2 linked regions of the Neodiprion lecontei genome follow. The protein of the gene in region 2 interacts with the protein of the main gene of each other region in a biochemical or structural test. Links are inferred from orthologs where the notes say so. Each region holds a gene or a part of one and is shown on either strand. Other genes may lie near its edges. The genes, in order: E3 ubiquitin-protein ligase Topors; DNA topoisomerase I, mitochondrial.

Region 1 (6,986 bases), on a different chromosome or scaffold from region 2:
TTTTATCCTTCAAGAGAATGCGTTTCTGTTTGTATAATTCTGTCTCGTCGCCGCACGTCATCGATTAATAAAGCAGGGAGCTTATCACTTTTGTATCACTTAGAAAAATAGAAGTATTGAATATTGCCATTACTTATACTCAATATTACTAACGTACGTTTACGAAATTACGACAGTTTAAACGCATGGTTTACTACTGAACTTTAAGGCCACGGATCACTAACAGGCCAAAACTGACAATGAATTCGGGAAGGCTCGAAAAAACAGGAATAAAATTAATTAGAAAAGTTGCTCCGACGTACTAAAAGTGTGCTCAAACATATTTCAAATAGGACTTTGAAATAGTGTGAGAAATTTTTTTGACGTATCGAAAATTTAACGTACATTTTTTTATGATTCACGGAATTCTTTCATTCAATTCTGAGCAAAAAAATGATTCAATTCGAAAACGTGTTATCGTTGTATTTTTTTTTTTTTTCGTCCGTATTTACTGCATAAAAAAGAAGAGGGTGGGGGGGGGGCCTTTAATAAAAATAGAACATAGGTGTAAGAAACGTTCAATTACTCTCGTGAATTGTGTATTCTATGATCACCCTTCAATCAATTATTTCCATAACGTATATCTATGAATTATGCAGGTCCTATTTTTGCTAGCGCACGCTAGCGTTGGGAATTATTATCAACAAGATATTTCATCTAGACATGATTTGTGAGAGTTAAATCTTGCCGCGCACGAACAGAGAACTGAACGTTAATGAACAAATTTGTTAATACATGTTTTATTCCGAGTCAGAGCTGGAGGACGATCTAATACGGCGTTTCTTTTTCTTGGACCTTGATTTAGATTCGCTCTTAGATCGTTTATGAGACTTTCTGGATTCCTTGTATTTTTTGTGGGATCTACGTCTCTCCTTAGAACTCGAACGTTTTTTAGAACTGGCATATCTAGATGAAAGAAGTGTGTCACTTCTAATGGATGAAGTTACAGATGCCGTTGAAACACTTGGTGTGCAATTGTCATCGGCCTGGAATGAATCTGTGACAGTAGCAGCAACAGTCTTGCTGTCGGATTTGCGACTTCCCTTTTCTTTTCGTCTATCCTTGTGTTTTGATTTTTTCTTACCAACATATGCTTTACTCGACCGTGCGCTGCAATAGCTACTTGAGCGACCATTCAACACATTCCTCTCAGAATCTGTCGTGCTGTAGTCGACTTTAAAATTAGCTTCTGTTAGTTTTTTACTTGACATCCCATTGTCTTCAAAAGAATTATATTCGTCGCTTTCACGCTTCTTTACTTCTCGCTCGGAATCTGAATCCTTGATCGAACGATATCTCTTCGATCCACATTTCTTGTTTCTACAAGATCTATGTTTGGGAATACTGGTGCTTCGTTGAGAGGCATCGCTTTCTGCACAATTTTCACTGCACCATTCTTCCTTTTTAACTAAGTCTTTACGAACTGTTATCATATTGGATATTGCCGATTTCATTAATTTGGATTTACCTTTTGTTTCCTGACGTTTTTTGTGCCGGTCTGGACTAGAATCATTCCAACTTGAAGAATATTCTCTCTTGTCACTTTCTGGTGATATTGACACGGGTTTGAACATTCCATCTATGATCCGGCCTTCAGATTCGCTGCTACTTGAAATCAATGCTTTAACACGACGCTTTATTCGAACAAACATATTCGTACCCCGCTTGTACTTTTGACCATGTACAGGACTTGTGGCAATGATTGACTTCTTTGTTTTGTTCTTTGATCCGTTACCGCTGTAGGGAGTATAATCCCGATTAGAATCGATATCATCACTCTCCGACGTCGTTGTGTCAGAAAATCGTTTTAAGGATGCCAGAGTATTTTGAGTTGAGCTTCTTTTCCTATCCGTAGAAGTCGTAGCCTCGTTAACTTCGCTTAAGGTTGATACACTCGGCGAATCAAAAGGAGACCGATCTATACAATCTTCAAATGGTGGACATTGTTTTGTCACAACTTGACAGTTATGTCTAGTATGCTCGCTAAAAAATTGTATCAATGATCAGCGAGGCAGATATTCAGCATTAAGAAAATGGAAATTTCATATAAAATTCTAAGCAATTGGCGTAAGAGACACAAGACTCACCTATAGTCTAAATTGGGAGCATCAGGCACATTCACTGTGTCAGCATCCGATGATAATAGATCGATAACTTCTGGTGTTCTTTCATGCCGAGGCTTCACATACCCCACAACTTCACATTCATTATCTGATATTCCTGATGAGCTTGACGAAATTGTCAATACAATATTAGAAGTTTGTGCAGTTTCTCGGAGTGCTTCGGCTACTGTACTTGGACCTTGAGAGAGAGGAAATGCAAGATTAGAGTAAAGTATTACATGAAATCACAAAATATATGCAAGCATGGGCAAGGAAAAAATGTATTATTATTGAGTTTCCCAAAGACTGTGTTAGTCAAGGGTAGATACTTATGTATGTACTTAGTATTAGACTACATACCAGGCATCTCGACTGTATGCGGACCTATTCCGAGCATCTCAATATTCATCCGACTTGCATCGATAGTTTCTTCAACAACTTGAACATCTGAATCAGTAGATATGCTGCTGCTACTAGAACTGGGTGATGATACGACAGGGACATATTCGTTGGACAAACCTGCGACACATATGACATATGAGGATGTCCAAAATCAATTCAGGTATTTCCACAACTATTCTCCGACGAAAATTGTATACAATTTGACCTCATCGGTTATTCTGTTCGCCAAGTTAAATTCTGATACGGAAGTCCAAATGGCCATTATTATTCAAAATAATTTTACACCTTGATATTCACCGAAAGACGTGAAAGACTATAATCCAGTGACCAAAGAGATGTTTTCCATAGCTACAGATATGTAGCGGATTTTAAAGTCCAACAAAAAGCTACATCAATTGGGTAAGAATGCGACAGTAAAATTGTTCAGTTGAAAATCTTTTTAGTTATGTGACTATAGAATGTATAAATTTTGTTGGAAGAAGAGATAGAATTTGAATGGTATGAACCGGTGACATTAATTGGCGGACAATTTTGCAACATGCAACCTTAATCAAATATACTAACCACGATTTGAAACATAGGTAACATATTGATCATAACCAATCAAGTCAAAACTGGTCTGCGCGTAGTTGAGTAGCTCATGGACAAAGTGCTCGGTGTGCATGGCAAAGTAGGGACGAACTGTGTCTCGAAAGTCGGAACTTCTCAAGTCATGCCGTGTGATAGATTCCATGATAACACGCATCACGTAACTTATTTGCGGAGCATTGTTGTTAAGCAATACTTGCAGTTCGCGATTCAGCCAAGGAATCAATCGATTCAATTGGTTTGGGTTTCGCCTGTAAAATAGATCAATACAACACATGTCTTAGTATCCTGGTAAACATTGAAATTTAATAAAATTCCAAAACTAAGTATTTTGGACTTTGTATCTAAATAATTAAAATAATCTTCAGATTTGAAGTCATGGAAATAAATGGTAGGAAAAAGTAGGAATTCAAAATTGAAACTGTAATAATTCATTTTAAATAATACAAGTAAAATGCGAAACATAAGCAGTGTAACTTACCGATAGTATTCAGCACTGCATTCCCTAAAGTTTCCAAATATGTCTGGTAGAGATGTCGCCCAATGTCCAAAACGATACACATTGCGCCGATAGTCAATAGGATTAGTACGTCGCAGTCTTCGTTCCTCTCTAGTAACTAGTGACGTAACAGCAGGTAGTTGTTCATTCCTCATAACTTGTTCGGGATTTAAGATATTTCGGTATCGATGATTAGGTGTCATTGTTGTACTAAAACAGAAGGTTGTCAATAAAAACGATTTCTAGCATTCAAATAAATACGTTCTTGAACGACATGTAAATAGTTTTCTAGCGGGAACCAGGCCTTATTGTTTTGGCAGCATATCATATCCATATTAAATATATTGTAGGAACATGAAGTTTTTTCTGTGCAGAACGCTTGATTGTGATTTCAAAATTATTAGCTGCCATTGCCAGTAACCGACAACCAAGAATGAAGAATCTCTCTTTAGCTAACTTACCGGTAACTAAATCCATGTGTTTCCCTCGGCAGGTTTATACTGCTGACCAGATCAAAATGAACATCCACTGTTGCAGCCATTTGTGACGCAGACAGTGAGACAAACTGACGGGGAACATGATATTGATCATAGTCGCCCTCGGATCTAACATTATGTATGATGGATTTGAAAGTTTGTTTACACAGAGGGCATTCTGTTTTTATTTTCGACCACTCTAACAAGCAGCTGAAACAAAACTGATGCAAGCAGCTGTCGGTGAAAGATTTGTTGACGAGCTTGCCCAAGCAAATGCTGCAATTAGGTGGAGGAGACGTGGTGCCGTCACTTCGCTCGCTTGGTTCATTGTCTGGGCTACTTGGAGATATTTCTTCCGTCTTTAGCGGACCCTTTGGAATAGCAGCGGCGGCCGCACGTATGCTTTCTATTTCTTCATCCATTTTGCGTCAATTCTTTTCGTGGTCCATTGGTCCTTGCATTACCTTTTCCTGTATTATGCACACAATTAAAGATATTATGACCCAAGTGTGGATAGGTCCAGCAATAAATTACTTGATTTGAAAAATACGCAGTACTGGATGATGGAAATGCAAATATCTACAGATATTGTTTACGATTACTCTCTTTATACTGTAATGTACAAAGGGTATTGTATACAGCACAGTTGATACTATACGCGTAACTGCCTACTTATATCAATACAGGCAGAATCTTTTGGATTCCGAGGCAGAGAATATAAATATTCAAAGCCGTAATTAAATCCACGAAAATTTCAACTCCCAATCAAGCTGCCCTTGAGTAGTAGCTTTGACTGAGGAAAAGTTAAGTGATTAAAACTGTGGAATAGCCGAAAGGTAACGCATCACATGACATCCGCTCACCGTTAAAATGTTGCCTACCACCGAAGGAAATGCGACAAGTTACGTTGACAATTAAAACTACAATCAGTAGCAGAGATATGAAAGGGCTCAACGCAGGCACCGACTGCCATCATCGGCTAATTTGATCATAAAGCTCGCAGCTGTACCAAGGGCGTTAACTGGTTATTACTAACCAGCCAACCATCCGTGCTCCAGCTGCACTGCCAGTCGTGGTCACATGATTCGTGTGGAATTGAACTCGTATTTTGTTTCAGACCGAAACAAGATAGCCGAAAGATTAAAGCATTTATGCATTTCACTGTATTCATATTTACATACATGCATGCCGATAAAGCAATATGTCAACCGTTTAATTAAAAACAATGCAAACAATGGACTTTTAAGAATTCCCATGATTTAAGGAATTCCCTAAATCTAGTGGATTCTTCATACTTCAGTCCTCACATCATGATAGTCAACCGATTTGAAGTTCGATGGAAACGCAGTATTAACATTCGATCGTGAGCACCGTGAGCACGGTCAGCCCCACGGTCTTACATACAGGTCTGGAAACTCCATTGGAGGGGGTATGTCGCTTATTGAAGCAATTTCTGTGTTCACTAGTCGCCACTAGGTTCGTTGCGATCTTATCAACAGCGTTGGCGGGGCCGGGGGTCCAGACAAGGCCGTGGTATTCGCATATATGTATATGAGTATTCGCTCACTCACGCTCACTCATCGTATTTATTGAGATTATTGTTATCCTGGTAACTAGACCGCAGCGACAATTGGTGGTGCCGCTAGAATCGAAATTTGCACTCGTTAAGCGACACGAATAATCGTGGCTCCCAGCATAGGAGTTTCCAGACCTGTATATAAAACCGTGGTCAGCCCCTTGACACTCACCGCTGCTCGTATACTAAAAAATTGTACGCGTTTTTTCCCTATTTTTTAGTTCCTCTATATTTAGATAGATATAGATATATACCGATAAAATAATCTGCGCATCGAAGTTTTTGACAGTTCATAACTCAGTGTAAAGTGTGTAAACGGTGGATCATCTCCACAAGATCTAAAACTGTCTCAAAAGTTGTGAGCCCTCGCTTGATGTTTATGGATTTTATTGACTTAAACATTTGAGGATTTCGTTAAAATAAAACAATTATCACGCCCGCCATGGAATGCTAGTAAACATCTCAATCATTTTTTATTCGCATCTTTCTTCATTTTTGAGTGTTATTCAGGATTGTCGATTCCGAAAAAATTGGCTCACCCCGAGGGGGCAGCGCTGCAGACGGCGAAGACGAGAACCACGGTTTTGCCTCATTATCTGAGTCATTCCCCCACCCTACTAGCAGAGATGAGTAGGGAGATCTCCAACGCTCGGCTTTTCGTGATACCAGCTAAGTTGGAGCGTCGACGTGACACCTAGGCGGCCACGCACCGAAGGTGGCCCATTTCCGACCTGACATCAAGCGGCCATGCACCGAAGGTGGCCCACAATCGTGTATATATAGATACACTCGGCTGCTCGAGCAAGTGGTTGCCAATCGCATCCTTGTCCCCGCTCGCACAGATGTTTCCAGGAATGCAAGAATTGGGATTTTTTTTGTTTCAGTTATGAATGTCAGCGAATAAAAGTATCTCCAGATTTGATAAATCTTGGAATCAATTAGCGGACGCTGAACCAAATTAGTTAACTATTCCCAGTCCGAATACTTTTTTTTTTTTTTTTAATACATATTATTTTTTTATTGATATGAAAATATGTGACGCCTGGTATTCTCGAATATTTGTGCACGCAGTCTATGGAAAAATATACGAAGCCAGCTCGATAACATTTATGCAAAATGTGCAATGGGCAAGTGGTTGGGGGAAATTTTTTTTTTTTCTCGAACTGAATCTTCCAGAGAAGCATCAGCGAATTCCAAGCAAGCTCCATAAACATACCGAGCAAACGCGCGCTCACGGACGTAGCTGTGGTGTGGCTGAGTGGATACCACATGAGGATGAATTTTCAATCACAGGTTTTTGCGCG
Region 2 (5,213 bases):
CTTCTATGTAACGGAGAAAATAGATTATTGCTCACTATGTTTTTGCCAAGTTTTTGTAACATTTAGATAAAATAAGAATTGCCCAACTGATCAAGATCTTTGTCTCGAGATGACATAAGATTAGTATGTTAGAATATACTGCTGCCAGCAACCAATGTTTTTGGGATAGGGAAGAATTCGCGAGAATATTGTAAGGGGAATTCTAGGTTAGAAAACGAAATTCCCACGCTATTATTAAGATTCTGAATTAAATTTCTATTATTTAAAAAATCCAGTTCGTGAATTTAGGTTAGATTGAACAGCCTTTGAATCGAAAATTCAAAACATTCCCGGTAAACCTATCACGAAGCAAAAAAAATTTAGTCAAACAGATGTCAAGCAGATTGGCAAACAAAAAAATAAATAATTGACAAGACGGAGCAGCATCAAACTGGACGAACAAAAAAAAAAAATGAATTATCAGTTCAGTGTTATCTAGTTATTGAAATATTGAGGAAAGAACACGTCTATCAAATCCTCTATATTTAATACCAAGAATAAAACACACAGAAATGTACAACAACGAACAACGTGCCATGCCTGACGACGTACCGCCAAGGATGGTTTGTTCCGGTTGCCAGAGTGAAGGCCATCTTTCCACTGAAAACACCAAGTCTATTGAAAATCTTGGAAGAGGCCAAACTACTGTCACTTTGTGTTAATTAATACATAACCCTGATTAAGTTGATTGAAACGTTTGAAACTTAGTGATATTACTGACAAATTTATATTGTCTAAATACCGAAGTGCTGAAATTGTAACGATGTATTAAAATTGAAACTGGATAGCATATGATATAAATATTTACCAGAGGCACATCCTCTTCAGACTCCTCCTCAGTTTTAATAGTAGTGTTGTGGAGATCAGAAAGTCTTGTGTCATTAGCATCTGTGGAATCCATAGTTGCATCTTTGTTCCACTCTTCCTCACCGTCATCCTCCTCTTTAATGTAAAGAGTCTGCTCCCCGCCGCTATCGTCATCGACATCATCATCATCATCAAACGTCTGCGTGAACAATGATGAAAATGCATAATTATTTAAAATTTTTTCAATAAAATGTGTGAGTCATAAACCATCGATAAACTCTGGTTTTATAAAAAAAAACTTTACGCGTAGATAAAAAAAATCAATAGCACCAATTATTACAAAAACATTGAATAACAGCTACCTCTTTTACCTGATGCTTGACAGGGTCAACTTGATACTGGTAATCTTGGTTCACCACTGGTTCTATCTTAGGCACCAACTCAGGCTCAGTTTTTGGTTCCACTTTAACTTTTGTCTCATCTTTGCTTTTATCTTTTTTCTCATCTCTGTGTTTAGCTGAAAATTTATTGTCAACTTGTGAGAACTAGGAGCAAAGAAAAGGTAAGTGTGACCATGCAAAAAAGGATTCAACAACATGTAAAACGTAAAATTACAAACTACTAATTTCATAACTCTTTACATCTTTCTTTGTCTTGGCGACGACGATCCTTGTCTTTATCTTTATCCTTGTCCTTATCGTGGCGATGTTTGTCTTTATCTGATGATCGATGCTTGTCCTTTTCAGTAGTTGAATGTGACGAACTATGCCTATCCTTGTCTTTATCAGAAGAATGCTTTCTATCTTTGTCCTTATCCTTTGAAGATGTTTTATCCTTGTCGCGAGAGCTAGAACTTGAGCTCGACTTGTGCTTCTCCTTCTCTCGCGAACTTTCCTTGTCCTTAGAACTGGAACTTGATTTGTGATGGTCCCTGTCCTTGTCTTTGCTTGAAGTTGAACTACTTTTATGATCTTTATCGCGGCTCGATGAAGAACTACTTTTCTTTTCTTTTTCTGACTCCTTAATTTTGTCTTTGTCCCTGCTGCTATGCTTGTCTTTATCCTGAAATTTTCAAGTCACACATCAATATTTGCAATGACGCGGTACCAAAGTATGTGAAAATCTAGGGAAAAAAAATAATACCAACCTTGGAGGAACTCGAACTGTGCTTATGCCGATCCTTGTCCCTATGTTCGCTTTTGTGACTACGTTCTTTGTCCTTGTCCTTACTTCTATCTTTATCTTTGTGCTCGGATTTCTGTGGGCGCTCTTTATCCTTGTCCCTATGCTCAGATTTGTGCTCTTTTTTGAGGTCATACCCATTGGACATGCCATTTAAATGGGAATCTAACAGTGAAGAAAAAACACACTGAAGCAATGTTTTGATAAGAGTCTGGTATTGGTTTATCGTAGGAACCAGAGTGGAACAAGATATGGTATATGCGATGCATACTATTGTTTTAGGATATGACCATAACTTGACAATAGCTTTAAATTAGAATGAAGACATCAATGTCAATGGGGCAGAGTTTATTTAAAGTGAAATACTTATGAGAAATAAGGGTACTGGTAAACAGAAAGAGCCAAGGAACAAAGAATCCTGTATTTCTCGATAATAGCCGAAACTATCGACAGGTTTTCGCATACGTAAAAAAGGAGGGAGGGGGAGTTCCTGCAACCGGGATACCCGTTACACGTAAGTACGGGAGATTTACGGACGAGCAGAGGTGATGCACGCGACGAACGAACGCGGCGTAGACATATGATGGAGTGTGCTATGAGATTCTAGTTGAGGGAACAGGAGTGCGGGGAAGGGGTATCGCAGCCAGGTAGAGGGTAGCAAAGGGGTGAGAGGATCGGGAATCTTACCTCCATGATTCCCGGCCGCACTGCTGTTCTCCTTGGCTCGTTTCTCCTGAAATTGAAACTGAATGAGATAATCAGAATACTTCATGAGCTTAGGAACGTTTGCAGTACGGAACAGGCCAAGCTGCGGGCCGACGAACGTTCGAAATAGCAACGTAAGGTCCGTAGATTGCTCGCAACATCTTGTGACATCGTGCTACGTGGGGACTTAGCCGCAGACGCCATTTTGGGACTTAGAAAAATTCGCGTCTCTCGTCGAGGTTGTCAAGAGAAAACCGACCCAACGGTCAATATATCGGAAAATCCGAGCACCTACGACGGTTCAAGAGATTGGAAACGAGGATGGTAGACACTTACCGGGTTGGATATTGGCTGGGAGGTGGCCTGATCGAGATCCATTAGTAACGTGCGACCGCAACAGATAAACGACACCAGACGACACTACGCGCAATGCTCTCGCTAAGAGCTCTGGGAGACAGACCGGACGAACGGCCGGGATGAACCTGGCAGCGTCTAAGTGCCCGAAACGCAAAACTGCGCATGCGCTTCTCGAAGCACACCGGATGAGTTCGGCAAACCTCGGTGGTACTCGGCCGAGTGCCAATGCCCTCGATTCAACTCCACTCGCCACGGGACATGGGCCGTTTCGCCTTTTCTTCTTCTTACTTTTATTTTTGTTTCTCCCCTTTGAGTTGTCTCTCCTCTACCTGGACTCTGCTCGCTGCCTTCCGGGCAAATGAGTGGATTTTATTAGGAACGGTTGGAACTTTTTTCGGATGCTAGTAGTTTCATGCAAGCGTTTCCTAGGCAAATTCATCAGCCGAATTTTTAATGCTTATTATATTAGTCGATAATCTGTTCAAAATTTAAAAGAAAATAGTTGTTACCGGCCGCGCCAATCTCTCACACTTGCATAGGTGAAAAATTATTCAACTTACCACGCATTAATACAATAATACCTTTAATTGGTATTCATTGAAATAAGTCATTGATGGTACAGCTAGATTATTATAAGTGTATAGAATTTTGTTCACTCAATAAATAAACAACGTGCTGGAGCTTTTTCTTATTGTATGAAAAATTTATTATTTTTAAGCCGCGATATTTCATTATATCTATATAATTTCGGGATTTTATTACAGATTAGAAACGATCAGATCAGGTATTGGCAAACAATAACGTTCTTCTGTCACTTGATTGTGAAAAAAATTCAAAAAAATTGAGAAATTTAGTTGATGATATCTAAATTTATAAATTATGTGGTTATAAGAGTATGATGAACAATTGGTTAGCTAGGCTTGTTCTGAGCCTTCTTCCCAAGTTATATGTCTATGCTTCTTCCCAGTACGGGCCAATTAGACAAAAACATTGTAAACCTTGGAATATTACATTTCGTTGCCTATAGATATTTAAATATAATAAAATAATTCCTATTGTGTCGCGTAGACAGTAAACCCCGCGAAATATAGGTATACCTACATATTTATCTTCAAACTTTAAAGTACTCAGGTTTTCCCTCTGCATTCCACGTTGTTTTCATCTTTTGAAAAGCAAATACGGCATACAAAGCTGTAATATAAGATAAGAATTTTAAGATGATAAATTAAATTTTTATTGTATACATAAATTGACTATGTTAAAGTCACTCACATGTCGCTTCCCATTCTGGTAGTGAAAGAGTGCCAATTTTTCTGTGTCCAGTTGAATTCTGCATATACTGTGCTGCATACCGATAGTCTTCGGGATTCTGACCGAGAAGAGGAGCTTCGTGACAAGGAGGATACGTCTCGAGAGCTCGCATTTTGCCAAGCAACGACCTTCCCTCACTTTTCATTCTTTCGTAAAAGTTCTCAAATCTGTACAGAAGAAGCATATTAATGTTAGCTTCGATGTCTCTTTGAATGAGATATATTTCTTACCTTTCAAACATAACAAGCTCCAAACCATATTTTAAAGCTAGTTTTGCGAGAGTTGGTAGATGTACAAGAAATTCTGGACAGTTGACAACCTCTTCCAAATGAAAGTTGTACTTGGCTCCAAACAATGGAGGTTTTACTTTGTCTTCGCATAGAAACTCTACACTGTATATGTCATTTCCAAACTTGTTGGTATCACTCTTTTGCCACCGAGATCTGTGCATAGACATAGACGAAAAATGAAGTATCAGCAATGTACAGCCTTCATTTCTGAAGAATCGATTTGTACACTTGTACTTCTGTTACATACACGAGGTCGTAGGCATCAGGTATAGTGCCAATAAAATATCCTCCCGGCCTCAGGCTTTCGCCTGCATTCCTGAGCATGCACTCAGCCTGCTGTACTGACTCAAAGCTGTAGTGGAATGCAAACTGACAGCTCACTAGATCGAGCTGACAGCTGGCATCCTTGTATTTTTCCCTCAGTCTAACCTGATATAACAAGTTTTTATCAGTCAATAACTAGGAAAAAGAATTTACGTGAACGAACCTTTGTGCAGTCGGCGGAAATGAATTCTGCAGTAA

Evidence for each region.
Region 1: of the proteins of DNA topoisomerase I, mitochondrial (region 2) and E3 ubiquitin-protein ligase Topors, one has a biochemical effect on the other in vitro, tested with the Homo sapiens proteins (2 studies listed by BioGRID). The link is inferred for Neodiprion lecontei from reciprocal best matches to the Homo sapiens genes TOP1 and TOPORS.

Annotation. Positions count from the first base shown.
Region 1 is NC_060260.1:41,194,076-41,201,061, reverse strand, and holds E3 ubiquitin-protein ligase Topors, read right to left. Parts: upstream 5,133-6,986; 5' UTR 4,970-5,132; intron 4,881-4,969; exon of another isoform or gene 4,779-4,880; intron 4,577-4,778; 5' UTR 4,529-4,576; coding exon 4,092-4,528; intron 3,841-4,091; coding exon 3,613-3,840; intron 3,383-3,612; coding exon 3,108-3,382; intron 2,661-3,107; coding exon 2,502-2,660; intron 2,341-2,501; coding exon 2,127-2,340; intron 2,023-2,126; coding exon 780-2,022; 3' UTR 523-779; downstream 1-522. UniProt on the Homo sapiens protein: Functions as an E3 ubiquitin-protein ligase and as an E3 SUMO1-protein ligase. Probable tumor suppressor involved in cell growth, cell proliferation and apoptosis that regulates p53/TP53 stability through ubiquitin-dependent degradation.
Region 2 is NC_060261.1:35,201,262-35,206,474, reverse strand, and holds the start of DNA topoisomerase I, mitochondrial, read right to left. Parts: upstream 3,236-5,213; 5' UTR 3,112-3,235; coding exon 3,070-3,111; intron 2,762-3,069; coding exon 2,716-2,761; intron 2,194-2,715; coding exon 1,994-2,193; intron 1,909-1,993; coding exon 1,488-1,908; intron 1,364-1,487; coding exon 1,209-1,363; intron 1,046-1,208; coding exon 848-1,045; intron 640-847; coding exon 592-639; intron 1-591. Other genes in the region: mRNA cap guanine-N7 methyltransferase, read right to left, coding at 4,202-4,281, 4,363-4,568, 4,632-4,844, 4,939-5,120, 5,179-5,213. UniProt on the Homo sapiens protein: Releases the supercoiling and torsional tension of DNA introduced during the DNA replication and transcription by transiently cleaving and rejoining one strand of the DNA duplex.